Linked DNA regions of Arabidopsis thaliana. The protein of the gene in region 3 purifies or fractionates together with the protein of the main gene of each other region. This does not show direct contact. Each region holds a gene or a part of one and is shown on either strand. Other genes may lie near its edges.

What was found.
Region 1: the proteins of UAP56a (region 3) and LOS1 fractionate together in Arabidopsis thaliana (co-fractionation; one large-scale study listed by BioGRID). This does not show direct contact.
Region 2: the proteins of UAP56a (region 3) and AT3G12915 fractionate together in Arabidopsis thaliana (co-fractionation; one large-scale study listed by BioGRID). This does not show direct contact.

The regions. Positions count from the first base shown.
Region 1 is NC_003070.9:20,967,149-20,973,786, forward strand, and holds LOS1 (Ribosomal protein S5/Elongation factor G/III/V family protein), read right to left. Parts: upstream 4,595-6,638; 5' UTR 4,518-4,594; exon of another isoform or gene 3,964-4,517; 5' UTR 3,930-3,963; coding exon 3,927-3,929; intron 3,847-3,926; coding exon 3,759-3,846; intron 3,538-3,758; coding exon 1,097-3,537; 3' UTR 504-1,096; downstream 1-503. UniProt on the Arabidopsis thaliana protein: Catalyzes the GTP-dependent ribosomal translocation step during translation elongation.
Region 2 is NC_003074.8:4,111,027-4,116,568, forward strand, and holds AT3G12915 (Ribosomal protein S5/Elongation factor G/III/V family protein), read left to right. Parts: upstream 1-1,807; coding exon 1,808-1,810; exon of another isoform or gene 1,811-1,912; coding exon 1,913-2,000; intron 2,001-2,130; exon of another isoform or gene 2,131-2,246; coding exon 2,247-2,962; coding exon of another isoform or gene 2,963-3,023; coding exon 3,024-3,546; coding exon of another isoform or gene 3,547-3,645; coding exon 3,646-4,682; 3' UTR 4,683-4,925; downstream 4,926-5,542.
Region 3 is NC_003076.8:3,551,193-3,557,566, reverse strand, and holds UAP56a (DEAD/DEAH box RNA helicase family protein), read right to left. Parts: upstream 4,472-6,374; 5' UTR 4,370-4,471; intron 4,253-4,369; 5' UTR 4,234-4,252; coding exon 4,121-4,233; intron 3,889-4,120; coding exon 3,788-3,888; intron 3,467-3,787; exon of another isoform or gene 3,331-3,466; coding exon 3,158-3,330; intron 3,059-3,157; coding exon 2,827-3,058; intron 2,747-2,826; coding exon 2,628-2,746; intron 1,944-2,627; coding exon 1,887-1,943; intron 1,795-1,886; coding exon 1,610-1,794; intron 1,502-1,609; coding exon 1,357-1,501; intron 1,267-1,356; coding exon 1,183-1,266; intron 1,089-1,182; coding exon 1,025-1,088; intron 932-1,024; coding exon 921-931; 3' UTR 549-920; downstream 1-548. Other genes in the region: GLR2.6 (glutamate receptor 2.6), read left to right, coding at 1-306; APT5 (adenine phosphoribosyltransferase 5), read right to left, coding at 5,581-5,652, 5,806-5,864, 5,956-6,105, 6,191-6,283. UniProt on the Arabidopsis thaliana protein: ATP-dependent RNA helicase involved in pre-mRNA splicing. Required for the export of mRNA out of the nucleus. In addition to ssRNA and dsRNA, binds dsDNA, but not ssDNA.

The DNA.
Region 1 (6,638 bases), on a different chromosome or scaffold from region 3:
ATGATGAGTTAAGAGAGATGATGAATGATTTTTGTGAATTGCTTCAATTCAAAGTGTATATTTATACATTTTCTGACGTTATCTTCCGGTTTAAGATATTGAATTTGTTAGGAGGTGTGTTCGTAGAAACTTCCGGTTTCTAGCCAGACCGAACACGACACAACGCGTTTCAAATAAAAGTAGGAGGCGTCCTTGATTCTGGTCGTCTCTGAAGGTTCCAGGTCAAAACACTTCATAACGAGTCAATGGACGTGTTCTCACCGGTGTTTTGATAAGTAACCAACCTTATTGTTGCCTTGTACGACCCATAATCAATCATGTATTTGGGCCAATGGTGTTAAATCACGAATCAGCTTATTAACTCTCTAAATGACATCCTCTTAAAACTAATACACAAGATCACCAAAGATTAATAAGTGATTCGTGATTTGGTGTCCAAACTGGACGTTTTATTTATAGATGAGATAATTAAACTAAGTGATAAATGAGCAATGTGGGTTTCCTTAGGAAATAGCCACCGAACGCATCTTCTAAACACTATCGACTTGGAATATTTTTTAAGGAGCTCCCACTATTCAAGGGACCTGGCTGCATTCTTCAACATTCCAATTTACTAAATCAACAACACCACAAATAATCCGTTACCATGTAAGTGAACCTAATGCATGACTGACAATTACAATCTCTAATAGAACAAAATCATACTCTGACACTGTTTATCAACATCTCTGAAAGAAAATCTCATCCTACCTAAAAAACATGTCCTCTTCCAACATTCAATGATAAAACAGTCTGAGACTTAACACAATTACATCCTGTGTTCCGGTAAGTAACCTAAATAATATGCATGAATATATGAATGATCGGAAGAGAAAAGAATATAAAAAAAAAGAGCAAGACAGAATCAAAACCAAGATATTTGCGAACACAATAACAAAGTTCTCAACTAGGAAAAAAGTAAAAAACATTCAGGGGATGGCGAGAGAAAAGTCTTCACAATCCGTCATACCATAAGAGTATTAATAAAACAAGACAAAATTAAGATAGAGAGAGTAGCAACCATTGGGAAAAAGGCTAGTACGAGTCTTGGTGAAGCTTAAAGCTTGTCTTCGAACTCAGATAGTGGAGTCATCGCTTCCTTCAATCCCTTCCTCTTCCTGATATCAGCCACCAAAACTGAAGCCTGAGTACCTGGCTCAAGAGGGTCAGAAGACATCATTTCCCAATGATCAAACACACACTGTGGGAATGCCTGTCCTGAGGTTGCTGCCCTAAGCTGACTTGAGAATCCGAAAGACTCCACAACAGGCAGGTATGCCTTGATGTTGTACAAGGGAGTTCCTGGCCTCTGCATCTCCTCGAACACGTGTCCACGCTTCTGATTCAGCACACTGTAGATTCCTCCAAGAGCTCCCTCTGGTGCCTGGATCTCAACCATGTAAACCGGCTCCAAAAGTCTGGGCTTAGCTGTGATCTGGGAAGCGTATATGACCCTTCTGGCTGTGGGGATAACCTGACCACCTCCTCTGTGGATGGCATCAGAGTGAAGCACCACATCACATACCTCAAAACAGATACCTCTCATGTTCTCTTCAGCAAGAGGACCTTCCTTGGACGCCCACTGGAAACCAGCAACAACTGAATCCTTGATTTCGTTAAGGTACTGAACTCCCTTACACATATCGACAACCATGTTAGGCCCTGTGGTTTCAGGTCCAAAAGCCCAGATCTTCTTTGCAAGATCCTTGTCCCATCCAAACTCCTCAGCCAAGATCTTGGATCTGATCTTAGGGTCATCCCTTGGGCCAATACGTCCATCATCAATAGCCTCAGCTAGACCTTCCTCCATGGGTCTTGCTTCCATGTACAGACGGTTATGCTTGTTAGGAGACTTACTCATAACTGTGCGAGTAGATCTATCACAAACTGTCTCACGGAAGGAGACCACAGGGTCTGACTTGATAATTTCAGCACCACCCATGAAATCATCCTGAAGATCCTTAAGACAAATCTCAAGATGGAGTTCTCCTGCACCAGCAACAATGTGCTCACCTGATTCCTCCATTGTACACACAACCATAGGATCAGACTTGGCCAACCTCTTGAGACCCTCAACCAACTTGGGAAGGTCAGACGCAACCTTACACTGAACAGCAACACGAACAACAGGAGACACAGAAAACTTCATAGCACGAATGGGGTGAGCATCAACTTCCTTCTCATTAGTCAATGTAGCATTCTTGGTGATGAACTGATCCAGCCCAACCATAGCAACAGTGTTACCACAAGGGACATCCTCCACTGTCTCTTGCCTCTTACCCATCCAAATGACAGTCCTCTGAACACTCTTAGTGTACAGATCCTTCTTCTCACCAGGGATATAGTTGGGACCCATGATTCTGACCTTCATACCAGTAGAAACCTTACCAGCAAAGACACGACCGAAGGCAAAGAATCTACCCTTGTCAGAGGCTGGAATCATCTTGGATACGTAGAGCATGAGAGGTCCATTGGGGTCACAGTTCCTGATGGCATTTGCATACTGATCATCAAGAGGACCTTCATACAGATTCTCAACACGGTACCTCTGGGCAGTGTGGGGAGATGGCAAATGAAAGATCATCATCTCAAGTAGTGCAGTACTTGCAGGGAGCCAAGTCTGCATAACACGCTTCATTAGAGGTTTACCCATAAGCTCCTTCTCATCATTCTTCATTGAGACACCAAGCTTCGCCAACATAGGCCACAACTTATCCTTCTGGTCATTCATGCAAGTAGCAATAATTTGCTTGATGGGTTCATAGCAGAACTGAACAAACCCACGCTTGCAGGTCGGGGAACCAGTGTTTTTGCCACTCCACTTCCTGGTGGCAGGGTCAAAGAAATTCTCACCCCAGAGCCTCTCCATCATCTTAGATTCAACAACACCGAACTTGGAAGCATACATCTTGGCGAAGTTGGTCAGTGTAAACGCCCATCCATGGAGACCAGCAGAAAACGCCACAGTTCCCTTCTCTGGGTAAACCTGAACATCACCAAGGAGAGGATCCTCGTATGTAGCCATGATGACATTAGCGTTCTCAATAACCCTCGAGAAAGTCTGGTAAGCCTCCTCACCATCAACCTGAAGCTCAAGGAAACACCTGTCCATCTTGTTGACAGTCAAGACAGGTCGAATCCTCTCACCAAGAGCCTGACGTAGAACAGTCTCAGTCTGAACACACACACCCTCAATGCAGTCGACCACCACAAGAGCACCATCAGTAATACGGAGAGCAGCAGTAACCTCAGAAGAAAAGTCAACGTGCCCAGGTGAATCAATAAGATTGATGAGGTACTCGTTTCCGTCTCTGGCTCCAGTGAAACTCTTCAAGGATTCATCAGTCATCTCGTAGTAGAGAGAAATACCAGTGGACTTGATAGTGATACCACGTTCAGCCTCATCAGCTCTGGTATCAGTCATACGAACATCACCAGCAACCTCTTGGGCAATGATACCAGCAGCAGCAACCAAAGAATCAGTAAGAGTGGATTTCCCTGTTGATCATGAAATAAAGATGCATTAGTTTAAACTTTTTTAAACGTTCAGCAAACTCAGAAAACAGATAAGAGACGCTATTAATTTCAAAACAGACTATAAACATTAGTATATAAAGAGATGCATTAGATTCAGATTACAATTCGACCAGCAAATTCAGTAAACAAACAAGAGATCAAAACTGACAAGAATAGTACAAAAAAAGTGATGAAGATTATACCGTGGTCGACATGAGCAATAACAGACATATTACGGATGTTGTGTTTGTAGTCCATAATCCTTCGAAGCTCATCAGCTGTAAACTTCACCTGCAAGTTCATAAAATCGTTATATGCTTGTATCCACATAGTAATAATGTAAATAAATGTAAGAAAAACAAAAGTCTTACCATTTTGTCAAACTTTTGATTGTCACCTACAAAATCTCTGCAATATCATCACAAAAACATAAAGAATTAGCAAATTGAAATATTTTAATACTAAACAGACACTAACCATGGAGACTTTAGCTTAGCTTATACAGAATAAGAGAAACTGAGACCAACACAAAAACATGTACATCAAATGCATAGAGGTTAAATTTAACAAAGAACAAAAACACACAACGAACAAAATAAAACCTGCAAATCTATACATGATGATAAATATAAAATCAGCGGCGATGATCGGAGAATCACACTGAACCAGTTTTTGGATGATCGACTACTACATGGATAACAATATCAATCAAAACTGAAAACACAACAGACTTGTAAGAAAACTTTGACATATTCAGATTATTATCTACGAGGGATCTACCAAAACCAGATCGATGCACAACAAACGGTAAGAAACAACAGAACCATGGAAACAAAGTGCTATAAACATAGATCAACAGCAAGACTCCATCATCTAAACACCAAATCGTGACAAAATTCCTAAATCAAACCAAGGAAGATGAAATTGAATCGATGAAGAGAGGATCTACACAAGGGACTAACCTTAGAGAGAAAGATGAGAACGAGAGAAAGAAAAGAGGTGCAAGGAGGCAGGCGTCTAGCAGCCTAAAGCTTATTATATAGTAACCAAGGAAGATGCTCTGAGTATATCCCTTGTTTCTCGTTTAGGGTTTTCGCTCTCTTAATGGGCCTTAATGGGCCAATACTCATCGGGCCAATATCATTAATTCTGGTTAAGTGTCTATTGAGTTTTTTAATCTTCATGAGCCCATGCATCATCGATTTAATCTTCATAAGTACACACGCTCAATTCAATAATCGAAGTAACAAAGATACTAAATTAAATCACTTTCACTGTAAACCGAGACCTTATTATTACATATCATTTGTTCATCTGTTTAATTAAATCAACAAGGAATGAATGATGATACATTAATCTTGTTTCCGTTATCTATATATACATTTTTGGAGGGGATTTTTGAAGATAATGTTGAAGATTTGAGCCATAATTCAACAATTAATTCAAATGGGTGGGTTTTACCCGGTTTAACTCTGTTCGGATTCTGGATAACATGTTTAATTCTGTTCTGATCTTAGATAACATTAATTTTTGGAAAAGTTACCTAAAAACTAATAATTAAAAACGAAAATTAATGATTTAATTACCAAATTTAATATAAACAATATCTCTAAACTAACCATATTTCTTATTTACCTTAACTAATTTCCTAAAATATTTCTACCTAATTTAAACATAAATATATAATTCTTCTTTCAATTTTATTTGATCTTATACTTTATTTATTTTGAATTTATATAAAATATATATAATTAATAAAATATTATATTTTTTTCTGAATATGATGTAATTCTAATTTTTTTAAATGGACATATATTATTCAACCTATGAAGAAATAATATGTGTACAATGTCCCACATCGCTTAGAAAAATTGGACAATGGTTCAGACCCATATTATAAAAGGACCAAAATGATTCTGATTACGAATGAGCAGGAAGCTTGATTTATCAGGCGTCCAAAATTAAAATAGTTATCCGATTTTACTGGGATTTTTTATTTTAAAGAATTGAAACTTTAAAATGTCTCAAAAAATTATAAATATTATAACTTTATCAAAAGTTAAATATTATAATTTTAAATTTTTTTATAAAGTTTATCTTTAAAAAATGCTTTAAATATTTATAATTTTAAAACTTATAAAGTTTTAAGAATTATAAATTGAATTTTACAAGAAATTTAACATTATAAATATATAAAAAATTTATTAATACGAGACGATATATTACAGAAAAAATCTTAAATATAACAATCAAAATTCAATGATGAATTTTGGGTCGATATTGTATTTTTTTAAGTTCCAAATTTTATAATATTGAAATTTATAAGAAAATGACAAAATTATGTTTAATTTCACGTGACTGGGTTATATGGTAGGACGGGTTTGGGTGGATAATAATTACGATTTTAGAATGTCCCACATCGCTTAAAAAAATTGGACAATGGTCAAGAGCCATACTATAAAAAGGACCAAAATGATTTCGATTACGAATGAGCATGAAACTTGATTTATGAGGTGTCCAAAATTAAAATGGTTTGTTTACTAGGGTTATTTATTTTAAAAAATTGAAACTTTAAAAAGTTTAAAAAATTATAAATTAAATTTTACAAGAAATTTAAACAATATAAAAGATATTAATACGGGACGATATACTGCGAGAGAAATCTTAGATATAACACTCAAAATTCAATGATGAAGTTTGGGTCAATATTAATCTTTTTTGAAGTTTCTAATTTTATAAATATTTGAAATTTATAATAAAATGACAAATTTGTGTTTAATTTCACGGGACGGGGTTATATGGTGTGACGGGTTTGAGTGGATAATAACATGGGATAGTATGCTATGGAAAAAAACATATAATAACAATCATAATATAATTATATAATCTTAAACACTAAACAAAATTAACAATATTAAAAAAAAAAACTTAAAACTTTAATTTTTTTAAAACACATTTTGATTCTTTTATAAGAAATTTAAACATTATAAATATTTAAACATTATAAATATTTAAACATTATACTACGGGTGAAATTTTATAATTGACTGTTTGGGTTGATAAGAATTTGCGATAGAATTAGG
Region 2 (5,542 bases), on a different chromosome or scaffold from region 3:
ATATTGGAGAGAACCATTGGAGAGAAAGCAGAGTTACTTGCCAATTTCGAATTCTGAGAGCGAAGAGCCGAGATTCTGTTTGTAGTTTGGATGATGAATACGATTGTTCATGTTCCTTTTATCTCCAGATTTCGTAAATTCGTCAATTTAAGAGACGATTAGCTCAGTTTACAATCGAGTCAGTATATATCGAATTAAACTGCAGAGGTTTTGGGTGTTCCCGAGACATGACTAGGATATGGTTCAATAAACAGTTGGAATTGGCGTGAAAATTGTAGATAGGTTAAGCTTTATACTTCAAATCATGCAATCGAGTAGTCTGATATCATTTTACTGACTGATTCCACTGGTTATCCAGTAGCCAACTATGTACGTGTGATTGATTGTGTAGTAATTTCCGTCTTGTACTTTGTAAGTTGGGTTCTTATTCTGCTGCATTTGGCTATTCCGTGTCTGATGACCTTTGTTTTTTCCTTTTGCAGCTTTGTTAGAGTCTCATTTAGATCCATGTCTCTTTGCTTTAATTGGTCACAATGCTTCTTCTGGTTTTATTGCAGCGGAAACGGTTTATTGAACAAACGAAGACTCTTTATGGTATGAATTTCCTGGCATCTGTTTCAAGTTTACTTTCTAAAACCTGGAAGTTCGGCACATGAGCAGTTCCTTTTAGAACAGTTTGTTTACTTAAACCTTTGACGCCCTTTTGTGTACTGGTATAAACCTCCTGCCTCTTCTCTCATCTGTTTCAGGCTTCGATTCCACCCTTCATATTACAGTCGCAATTACAAACTAGTGTCAATGAGAGAACCCAATTCGATCAGAGGTATGCTTTCTCTTCTTGACAACAAGTAAAGTAAACAGGGTTTCTGTTTCTCCACTTCCTTTTATGGTTTTGGTTTTGAAAAGTGAAATCTTTATGTGAAAGTTCCATTTTTTTGTTTTAATAGGATTTGAGATTAATGAGTAATTTAAAATAAGTGAGCCTATTTAGGCCCTAAAGACAAAAAAAATCCTAACTTTTTGTCTTTTTTTATTAAACTAAAATATCAGGGTCATGATTTACAATCTTTATTTTTTCTTGATACTTTTCATGATTTTAGTTTGTAAAAAAAAATGTATAAAATCATAAACCAATAACACCATAATTAAAATCATTAAGAATCATAGATTCATTTGTTTTAGTTTAATAACATCAATTTTTAATGACTTTATTAAATTATGAATCTAATAACTCAAAATTTATGAAGACTTTAGATTATTTTGTATAAATCAAAATCTAATAACACTAACTGTTAACAGAATCTTATAAAATCTTAATTTAATTACACAAGATTTTTTATAACATTAAATCGCTAAAAATTTATATAAATCGTAAACCAATAATACCCCCTAATTTTTTTAAAAAAAATAGGATTTCAGATTAATGAGTAATTTAAAATAAGTGAGCCCATTTAGGCCCTTAAGACAAAATAAAACCCGACAGAGATTCTCTGTGTGAAACCCTAAATATTAAAATCAGAAGGCAAAGGCACTTTCTTATAATATACAGAGAGTAACGCTTCTGCTCATCTTTTCACGTCCAAGGCTGCACCCGTACTCGCTCCAGGTTGGTTAAGATTTTAGTTTACCTTCGCTCCCTCTTCTTCTTCTTCTTTTCCCATTTATTAATTTTTTACAGATTGTTGATTCTCTCTTCTTCTCTCTACTGCTGATCTATGAATTCTAGTATTATTTTCCGATAATTTTCTTACTGTCTCTTCTTTCTCTGCAGAGAATTTTGTAGGCGTGAGGAAAAAAGCAAGTCAAGATGGTAAGCTTTTTTTCTTTTCTTTCAGAGTACTATTCATTTATTTTTTGTGTAGTGATCTGCCTTGTGTTTTGTTTAACACGTTTTTGTTAAAAAATCTTGCAGGTGAAGTTTACAGTTGAAGAGCAACGGAAAATTACGGATCGTAAACACAACATCCGTAACATGTCTGTCATCGCCCATGTCGATCATGGTATTTATCTCTTTAAAAATTGTTCGTTGTATATGAATCTCATATCACTCTGTTTTTATGGCTTATTGATGTTAAAGTATAACATAACATAAAAAAACGATTTTATTTTATATATCTTTTATTTATATAGTTCTGTTTCTTTTTTGTTGATGAAATATTTGCTCTTTTATACATATGTTTGCTAAGCATGTGTTTTTTCTATCAAACTTGATACTAAATAAAAGTTTTGTGATCTTTTAATGATAGGGAAATCTACACTTACGGATTCACTTGTTGCTGCTGCTGGTATCATTGCTCAAGAAACTGCGGGTGATGTGCGTATGACTGATACTCGTGCTGATGAGGCAGAACGTGGTATCACCATCAAGTCCACTGGTATCTCTCTCTACTATGAGATGACTGATGCGTCTCTGAAGAGTTTCACCGGAGCTAGAGATGGCAATGAGTACCTGATCAACCTCATTGACTCTCCTGGACACGTTGACTTTTCTTCAGAGGTCACAGCTGCTCTCCGTATCACTGATGGTGCTCTTGTGGTTGTTGACTGCATTGAAGGTGTTTGTGTGCAGACTGAGACTGTGCTCAGGCAATCTCTTGGTGAAAGGATTAGGCCTGTTTTGACTGTCAACAAGATGGACAGGTGTTTCCTTGAGCTTAAGGTTGATGGTGAGGAGGCGTATCAGAATTTCCAGAGGGTCATTGAGAATGCTAATGTCATCATGGCCACGCATGAGGATCCTCTCCTCGGTGATGTTCAGGTTTACCCTGAAAAGGGGACAGTAGCTTTCTCTGCTGGTCTCCACGGATGGGCTTTCACTCTCACCAATTTTGCTAAGATGTATGCTTCCAAGTTTGGTGTCTCTGAATCTAAAATGATGGAGAGGCTGTGGGGTGAGAACTTCTTTGATTCTGCAACCAGAAAATGGACGACCAAAAACTGGCTCCCCGACCTGCAAGCGTGGGTTTGTTCAGTTCTGTTATGAACCCATTAAGATAATGATCAACACTTGTATGAATGATCAGAAGGATAAGCTGTGGCCGATGTTAGAGAAGCTTGGTATTCAGATGAAGCCCGATGAGAAAGAGTTGATGGGTAAACCTTTGATGAAGCGTGTCATGCAGGCATGGCTTCCTGCGAGTACCGCTCTTCTTGAAATGATGATCTTTCACTTACCATCACCCTACACTGCGCAGAGGTACCGTGTTGAGAACTTGTATGAAGGTCCCCTTGATGATAAGTATGCTGCAGCTATCAGAAACTGTGATCCAGACGGTCCTTTGATGCTCTACGTCTCTAAGATGATTCCCGCATCTGACAAGGGCAGGTTCTTTGCCTTCGGTCGTGTCTTTTCTGGTACGGTTTCTACTGGTATGAAAGTCAGGATCATGGGTCCTAACTATGTCCCTGGTGAAAAGAAAGATCTGTATGTCAAAAGTGTGCAGAGGACTGTCATTTGGATGGGTAAGAAACAAGAGACAGTGGAGGATGTTCCTTGTGGTAATACTGTTGCTATGGTTGGGCTGGATCAGTTCATCACCAAGAATGGTACCTTGACGAATTAGAAGGAAGTGGACGCACACCCGCTTCGTGCCATGAAGTTTTCTGTCTCTCCCGTTGTTCGTGTTGCTGTGAAATGCAAGCTAGCGTCTGACCTTCCCAAGCTTGTAGAAGGTCTTAAGAGGCTGGCCAAGTCTGACCCTATGGTTCTATGCACAATGGAAGAGTCTGGTGAGCACATTGTTGCAGGTGCTGGAGAACTCCACATTGAAATTTGTGTCAAGGATCTTCAAGATTTTATGGGTGGTGCGGATATCATAGTGTCAGATCCTGTTGTTTCGTTACGAGAGACAGTCTTTGAGAGGTCTTGCCGGACTGTGATGAGTAAGTCCCCAAACAAACACAACCGTCTTTACATGGAAGCCAGACCAATGGAGGATGGTCTAGCAGAGGCCATTGATGAAGGCCGCATCGGTCCATCTGATGACCCCAAGATCCGATCCAAGATTCTTGCAGAAGAGTTTGGGTGGGACAAGGATCTTGCCAAGAAAATCTGGGCGTTTGGACCTGACACCACAGGGCCCAACATGGTGGTTGACATGTGTAAGGGAGTGCAGTACTTGAATGAAATCAAGGACTCAGTGGTTGCTGGGTTCCAATGGGCTTCAAAGGAAGGTCCTTTAGCAGAGGAAAACATGAGAGGGGTCTGTTATGAGGTGTGTGATGTTGTGCTCCATGCTGATGCAATCCACAGAGGATGTGGTCAGATGATCTCAACAGCAAGAAGAGCCATCTATGCATCACAACTCACGGCCAAGCCTAGACTTCTTGAGCCGGTTTACATGGTCGAGATACAAGCACCTGAGGGAGCTTTAGGAGGAATCTACAGTGTGTTGAATCAGAAGCGTGGACATGTGTTTGAAGAAATGCAAAGGCCAGGAACGCCTCTCTACAACATCAAAGCCTACCTTCCTGTGGTCGAGTCATTTGGTTTCTCAGGTCAGCTAAGGGCTGCAACCTCAGGACAAGCCTTTCCTCAGTGTGTGTTTGACCATTGGGACATGATGTCTTCTGATCCGCTTGAGACTGGCTCACAGGCTGCGACATTGGTAGCTGATATCAGGAAGAGAAAAGGTTTGAAGCTACAAATGACTCCACTCTCTGATTATGAAGACAAATTGTAAGCGGAACATAGCTCCTCTAACTCTTTCTCAAAGACTCTTATCTCCCTCTTAGGCTTGTTTATTGTTCACATTTTTGATTCAGACTTACACCCTGTTTTTTGTTCACTCTTTTTACTTCATAGACCTATCAATTCAGTAGTATTGTTTATACTAGTTGAGTTATTTTCTGTTTCATAACTTGTTTTTTTTGTTCTCTTCGATGACGAACGTCCTAAGCGTCGATAATAAACCTCTCAAGTCTGAAGCTGTATTGTTTTAATATAGAGTGAGAACAAAATATCAGGTCACATTTTTGCTCTTGTTGAGTTGTTTCTCTTGTTATGACTCTCACAGTTGGGTTCTTATAATAGCAGCATTTTTCAGCCAGTGAATTTAGTTAAACCAACCGGGTTCAAGAAGCATTTCTAGGTAGTCCTGAGCTTGTTTCGGCTTTCCCATCTTGTATTAGCCATAGATTCAGCCTTCTAGGTAGTCCTGAGCTTGTTTTTCAGAACTCTCTTTCCATGTTAGCGAACCATAAATTGGGCTTAGTTACTAGTATTGTGTTCCGCAACTCATTTTCTCTTCCTTCTTTATTGGCACATTTACAATGTTGTCTTTTTATTTTCTTTGATTTCAAGATGTGCTCATTCATGTCTTAGATATGTATCTTTAAACCAAACTTTTCAGCTCAACTAGAACATGTCATCGCCTCAACATAGTGGAGATCAAGAAAAGTGGCATGTGACTGTTTGAGTTTTAAGAAATAGGCAAAAATACATGTTATAAAGTTTGCAAGTTTATCACTGCCTTACGAAGTTAGATCAGCACTAATTTCCCACTCACTTGCCAAAATGCTAATATAAAATATGGGAACAAAG
Region 3 (6,374 bases):
AATGCTAATAATTCGCCAACAGATGGTAACATGAGAGCTCCACCTAATCAGCCAACAGATGATAACATGAGAGCTCCGACTAGTCCGCCAATTGATGATCAAGTCCTTGAGCCACCTGGTCCAGCATTAAATGAAGCCGATGATCAAGATCAGCTTCTGAATGATGAAGTTAATGTTGGAGATCGAAATGAAGTAGATATTATTGTGGAAGTCGACCCAACTTTGGTTCACCGTAGAAATCTGATCACCTCAAAAACAATACCCACCCGAAGAGCTGCACTATTCTCGAGGATTAAGTCTGCATAGGCTCTGATCGTAGTCTTTCTGAATGAACCTAATTATTATGTTCTTTTGCGTGTTGTTTTTTGAGTTTTTTCTCATGCAAAGGCAACAGACTTGCCTCTTAAAAAGTCAAAAGACAAATAGGCAAGGACACATTGACTCCTTCAAGTTGCCTTTTTCCCCTAACCATTGTTCCTTGGATATAAACTTTTCAATATATAAAGTAACCATATATACGTGTTGTATCTCTTCCACACTAAATGAAATGTGTTATAAAAAAAAAGCATCACATGAAGGAAGTAACGCTGATGAATGACGATTCTTAGCAACACCATGATAAATTGATAATAGATCGATTCCTAAGGAACACAGTAATCAGGTCGAGACTAAATCCTGATATTTCAAACATAATAATCTCTTGTACAAAAAACTGGACAGCTTTTAACTGTGCGATTTGGAGAGTGACTCGAATCTCCTTTAAAGAGTACAACAGACGTTCTAAACATATGGAAAAAAATGTCGTCATAGAAAACACTAAAACAAACGGAGCGAGAGATAGTTGTGAACCCCCATCACCCTTCGAACACCTACAAGGTTGAAATCTGAAGAGCTTCTTTCCTGAGGGACGTGCTACTTGTTTAAGAAGGCACTGAACAAAGAAAGAAGAAGAAACAACATTAATATCACAACCAGACAAAACCAAGCTTTTAAACAAACAATTGGTAAGGGATTTCACACTTACTGTAGGTTGAAGTATCAATCTGCTCCGGAAGTTCCTTTATATCAACCTCAAACCTCTCTTGTACCTGTCCAAGATTTATAATTGCCACTTTACTAAATATCCAACTCAATTTCAAGAGGAGTTTTCCGTGGACTTATTACAAAGATTGAACACCATACCTGGTTAAGAACCTCTGAATCTGAAGCAGATGCAACAAATGTGATTGCAAGACCCTTGGTTCCAAATCTACCAGCTCTGCCAACCTATACCATACACAGCAAAACGGTAAAGTTACAAGAGCCCTTTCAGTGAGATCAACAATCAAATAATAAATTTCAGTATTATATACTTACCCTGTGAAGATAGGTATCAGCAGAATCTGGCATGTCATAGTTGATGACAATGTTGACACGCTCAATGTCAATCCCTCTTCCTACCAAGTCAGTCGCCACAAGGATCCTTTTGTGCCCTTCCTTGAAACTTTTGTATCGAGTCAACCTACATAACATATCGTATTAGCCTTAAGAATTGGACTCCTCTCCATGAGGGCTTTAAGAGCAGGTAGGGTCCTTCAAAAACATTGAATTTTGAAGAGAATGTACAGACCTCTCTTCTTGAGACATTCCAGAGTGGATGCATATTGAGGGGAAATTGCATTCCACCAGTAACTTGTTCAGCTCAGCAGCCCTGCTCACGCTCTTCACAAAAATGACAACTTGATTGAAGTCCAACGCATCAAGAAGGTCATTCAACTTCCGGTTTTTCTCCATCTCGCTCAGTTTGATATAGTGCTGTTACAGTATGACAGTAAAAGGTCTTTTAAGTATCAAACAACAAACTATATTTCCATTGAATAAGAAGACCTAACACCAGATAAGAGTACCTGGACAAGCCCATGAAGAGTCAACTTGGCTTCATCATCGACATATATTTCCATTGGCTGAAAGGAATAGATATCAGGTAATAATTAGCAAGCTTTTCTCAGGAAATGATTTACACTACAAAAGTGAAGATGGATGTAAAACCCCTGATCTGAGATCCTCGTCCACCAGGTTCTCTTCATAGATGTGAGTTTTGCTATGATACAGCGATATTGCTCGGAACATTAAGGCCCATACAATCACAATGAAACCTTGGGACAACACAGTACCCCACCCAAAACCCACCCAGCACTGCTAGAATTGCAAAGAAATTGAAACTGAATAAAAGGTAATGACGAAAGAAGATCCTGTTGTGCAATGGTCACTCATTCATACCAATGCTACAGAGGCTCACACTCACAGTTCTCGATCCCTACAAACTACCCAAAGCATTAGTGGATTGAGACCCATCGAGAGATCAGTTGCAGCTTTTCCAGGGCAGAACCGCAGAAGATGCCCAAATAATGCTATAATCACCCATAGAAACCATACCAAAGCTACAGAGTCTCACACTCACAGTTCTCGTTCCCTACAAACTACCCAACCATTATTGGATTGAGACCCATTGAGAGATCAGTTGCCGCTTTTCCAGGGCAGAACCGCAGAAGACGCTCAACTAATGCTATGATCACTCATAGAAGGCTAAAAATAGTTGAAAACTAGAAGACTTGCAAAGGGAGAGAGAATTGGCCATGGAACATTACATCTTGCATAAATTTTTTGCAGACTGGGCGTATCTCTTTGCTGAGCGTTGCTGAGAACATCATTACTTGTTTGTCATGAGGAGTCATCTTGAAAATCTCCTGCACATCCCTTCGCATGTCTGGTAAAAAAAAAGTTAAAGTGTTAAAACATAAAATTATTCAGGGATCGATGTAATAATGATGTCAGAAATCAGCATACCAAGTGACTCGAGCATTTTATCACATTCATCAAGAATAAAATGCCTCACATTCTTCAAAGAGAGATCTTTCTCCCTGGCAAGTGCAAGCACCCGACCAGGGGTACCAACAACAATGTGAGGACATTCATTCTTCAGCAAGTCTTTGTGAATTTTAATGTTGACTCCACCATAGAACACCGAAACCTTTGTATCAGGCAGATAGGTACTGAATCGCACAAACTCATTGCAGATCTGCAAGTAATTGTCAGCATCAAGGCAAAAAGCATTAGAGGAAGAAGACGTACAACAAAACTATAAGCCAAGAACCTGAGTGAAACAAGAAGGTCATACCTGGTAAGCTAGCTCTCTTGTATGGCACAAGACAAGTGCAGAAACCTGGCCAGGAGATGGTTCAATCTGTTGTAGAGTAGACAGGACAAACACAGCAGTCTTCCCCATACCAGACTTTGCTTGGCAGATGACATCCATGCCCAAGATAGCTTGAGGGATACATTCATGTTGCACTGGTGGAGAACCAAAGAAAATTGTACCGAAGAAAGCCTTTATAAGTAGATGATAACCTCCATATCTTTTAAATTGGTGGCTTTAGCACATGTTTAAGCTCACTCCAAACCAATAGATTGAAATATCGTTTATTACCTGGAAAAAGTAATCAGTGAAACGTTAATAAACAAAGAAAACAAAAACCATTATAACAGGAAATAAAAAAGAATTTGACCTCAACACAAACTTTTTTTAATTTAGTTAGATGATAAGCAAAGGACCAAGATAAAGTATAAAATATCTTTAACCAACATATCTTCTCAAAACTAGACGAAGTACATATAATTAAAAGTTTCCGGACAACTAAAACATCTTATGGAGAAGTCACTTCTGTAAATTATACAATATCATTCGGTAATAGAATGGTGAAAGGCAAGGCAGAAAAGTCAAAGGTAGGGTGTATTTCATTGTAATAACCTTCAGATGGATGTTCAAATCCAGAGTCAACAATAGCTCTGAGAAGCTCCGGTTTTAAAAGGAAGTCTCTGAATCCAGAACTGTGTATTCCCACGTACCCTCTGTCACAAAGAGAAAATACAAGATGATAAACACATGACCGTCTAATATTGGGTAGGTTCCAGGAATTTTAGCATTGAAGAACTTAGTCAATTGTCATAAAGTTAAGCAACTAACCAAACACATAGATAATTGAAGAACTTAGTCGGTTGTTATCAAGCAGTAATCTAAGAAAACCCTAAATTTAAACATCCACTATCTCATGAAACAGATCGAGGAAATCATAAAACTCACTTTTTCACGGCTTCACCGTTAACTTTGTTTCCAGAATCTGGGACCTTCTCGTCTTCTTCTTCATAGTCCAAGAGCTCCTCCTCGTAGGCTTCGTTGTCTCTAGCGTCTCCCATACTTCGCAAATTCAACAAGCTGCAGAGAAATTTCGGGTAAGATTCCAAATCCAAAACATTAACCTAAGATTCAGTAGGAAAGCATCTTCCATTGGAACTTTGGATAAGCAATTGAGTTCTCGAGCGAGAATTTTACCTGAGATAAGGAGCAGAGTTGGTTGGATCTCGAAATCGACTAGGGTTTCGAAATCTCTGACTGAAGAGAATGAATCACCAACGCCGCGTTGGTGTCGTAAATAAATATATACAAGGAGACTGGATAGGGTTGACAATAAGCTTTACTTTAATGGGCCTAAAGTTTTTATTAATCGGCCCTTCTGCGCCAATTATTATCTAAGTTTTTTTTTCTTTTTTTCTTTAGTGGGTTCGAGTCAATTTAGACAATGACGGTCAGGGCTCGTCTTGGTTTAGTGGGTTCGAGTCAATACGAACAGAACAGTAGAGCACAATAGATAACAAATTGGTTTAGTTAAGATATTTCATTTCCCTTAATAACAATGTTTTTGTTTCAAGGACCCAACAAAATTGTAGGCCCATTAATTAAAACAAAACCCAATTTAGACTGAGTTCAACCATATCTTTCACTCTCTTTGGAATCGTTTGGACGAAGCTCAGATATTTTTACTCTTGCAATTCAGAGATTTCGAAACCCTAATCCGATTTCGCGATCTAACCAGCTCTGCTGAGTTCTCAAGTTATCCATCAGACTCTTCTGTTTATTAGCAAATAAAGCTTTGTAAGGAAAGCCATTGTGTACTTTCACTTTTATTGTTTTATAGTCTTCAATAAATAACACATACAGTAGTTTGCTTATGTAATAATTTGTATCATGAAAACTTTATTAACGATTTTCAATTTATAATTTGAAATCAGTGAAGTAAGTTGTTAAGTTTAGGGAGAAACAAAGAAAAACTTGCAGCAGTGCTGAAGCAAAAATATGGACCAATATTGCAGTAATGAATAGTTTTGTCGTAGAATACAACCAACTTTATCAGTGCTCAGTAATATCAGCATTAAATTTAGTAAACCTACTAGTTGTACTTTTTAGATTTCCCGCATAAATTACGAACGTATCTTTACCCTTTTAATGATTACAGTTATTATAAACTGATTAACATGAGTTAGTGATCCATCAGAAATTCCACCAAACCGGGAAATGTAAAGACTCTTTTCAGTATCTCGGTTTTTTACCAACCACTGCCGTGGAAAGTACACATCAAAATTCAAAATCTACAGAGATCAATAAACGAGAACGAATACAAGAAGTTGGAACCCTAGAAATTTTGAAAAAAAGAACATGAACTCTGCAGGGAAAGAAAACTGAACCGGAAGTAACCGGTATGTATCCTAACAGAACTCATCTAATCCACTAGGCTCCACCAACACATAAAGCGGCTTCCCTTTGAGCTTGTGTTGCCCCTAAAAACAATTCAAAATTTTCACAAACTCAATGAGCAAATTTGAGTTGAGATTATAACAAAAAAACTAACTCTATCACTACATTTTAGAAATCATTTCAAAAGAACAAAACCAGAGATAACTTCTTAGACAAGTAAGATAAATGTGACTCACCTTGACTTCAGGCAAGCCAATAACACAAGCACACTCAACAACTTCAGCTCCTTGGCTCTCTGTAAAACGTCAAACTGTATCACATTACAATTCAAGACCAAAAAATTCTCTTTAAAAACTGAAAAAGAAAACAAGAAGAAAGAAAGAAACCCAATAGGCTCATTGCGGCAGAAAGAGTGCCGCCAGTAGCAACAAGATCATCAATGATAATGACGCGTTCGCGTGGCTCAACAGCGCCAACATGCATCTCTAAACGGTCATGCCCATACTCGAGCTCATAAGACTCCGATATCACTTTCCCTATATTTTATAGTTTCGCCAATTTTTCAGAATCTCAAGAGCTTCTCTATCACAATAACCAAAACAGATAATGCAGTAAAAAAACCTGGTAATTTTCCTGGTTTACGCAAAGGGATAAACTTTGCGCCGATGGCTAATGCAATGGAAGGACCAAACAAGAAACCTCTTGCTTCAACTCCTATATAATACATTTGGATGTAAACAAACATATTAATTTCTTAATGAAGAAAAAGACAATTCTTGTTTCTCCTTTTTTTAATTGTCTTTTG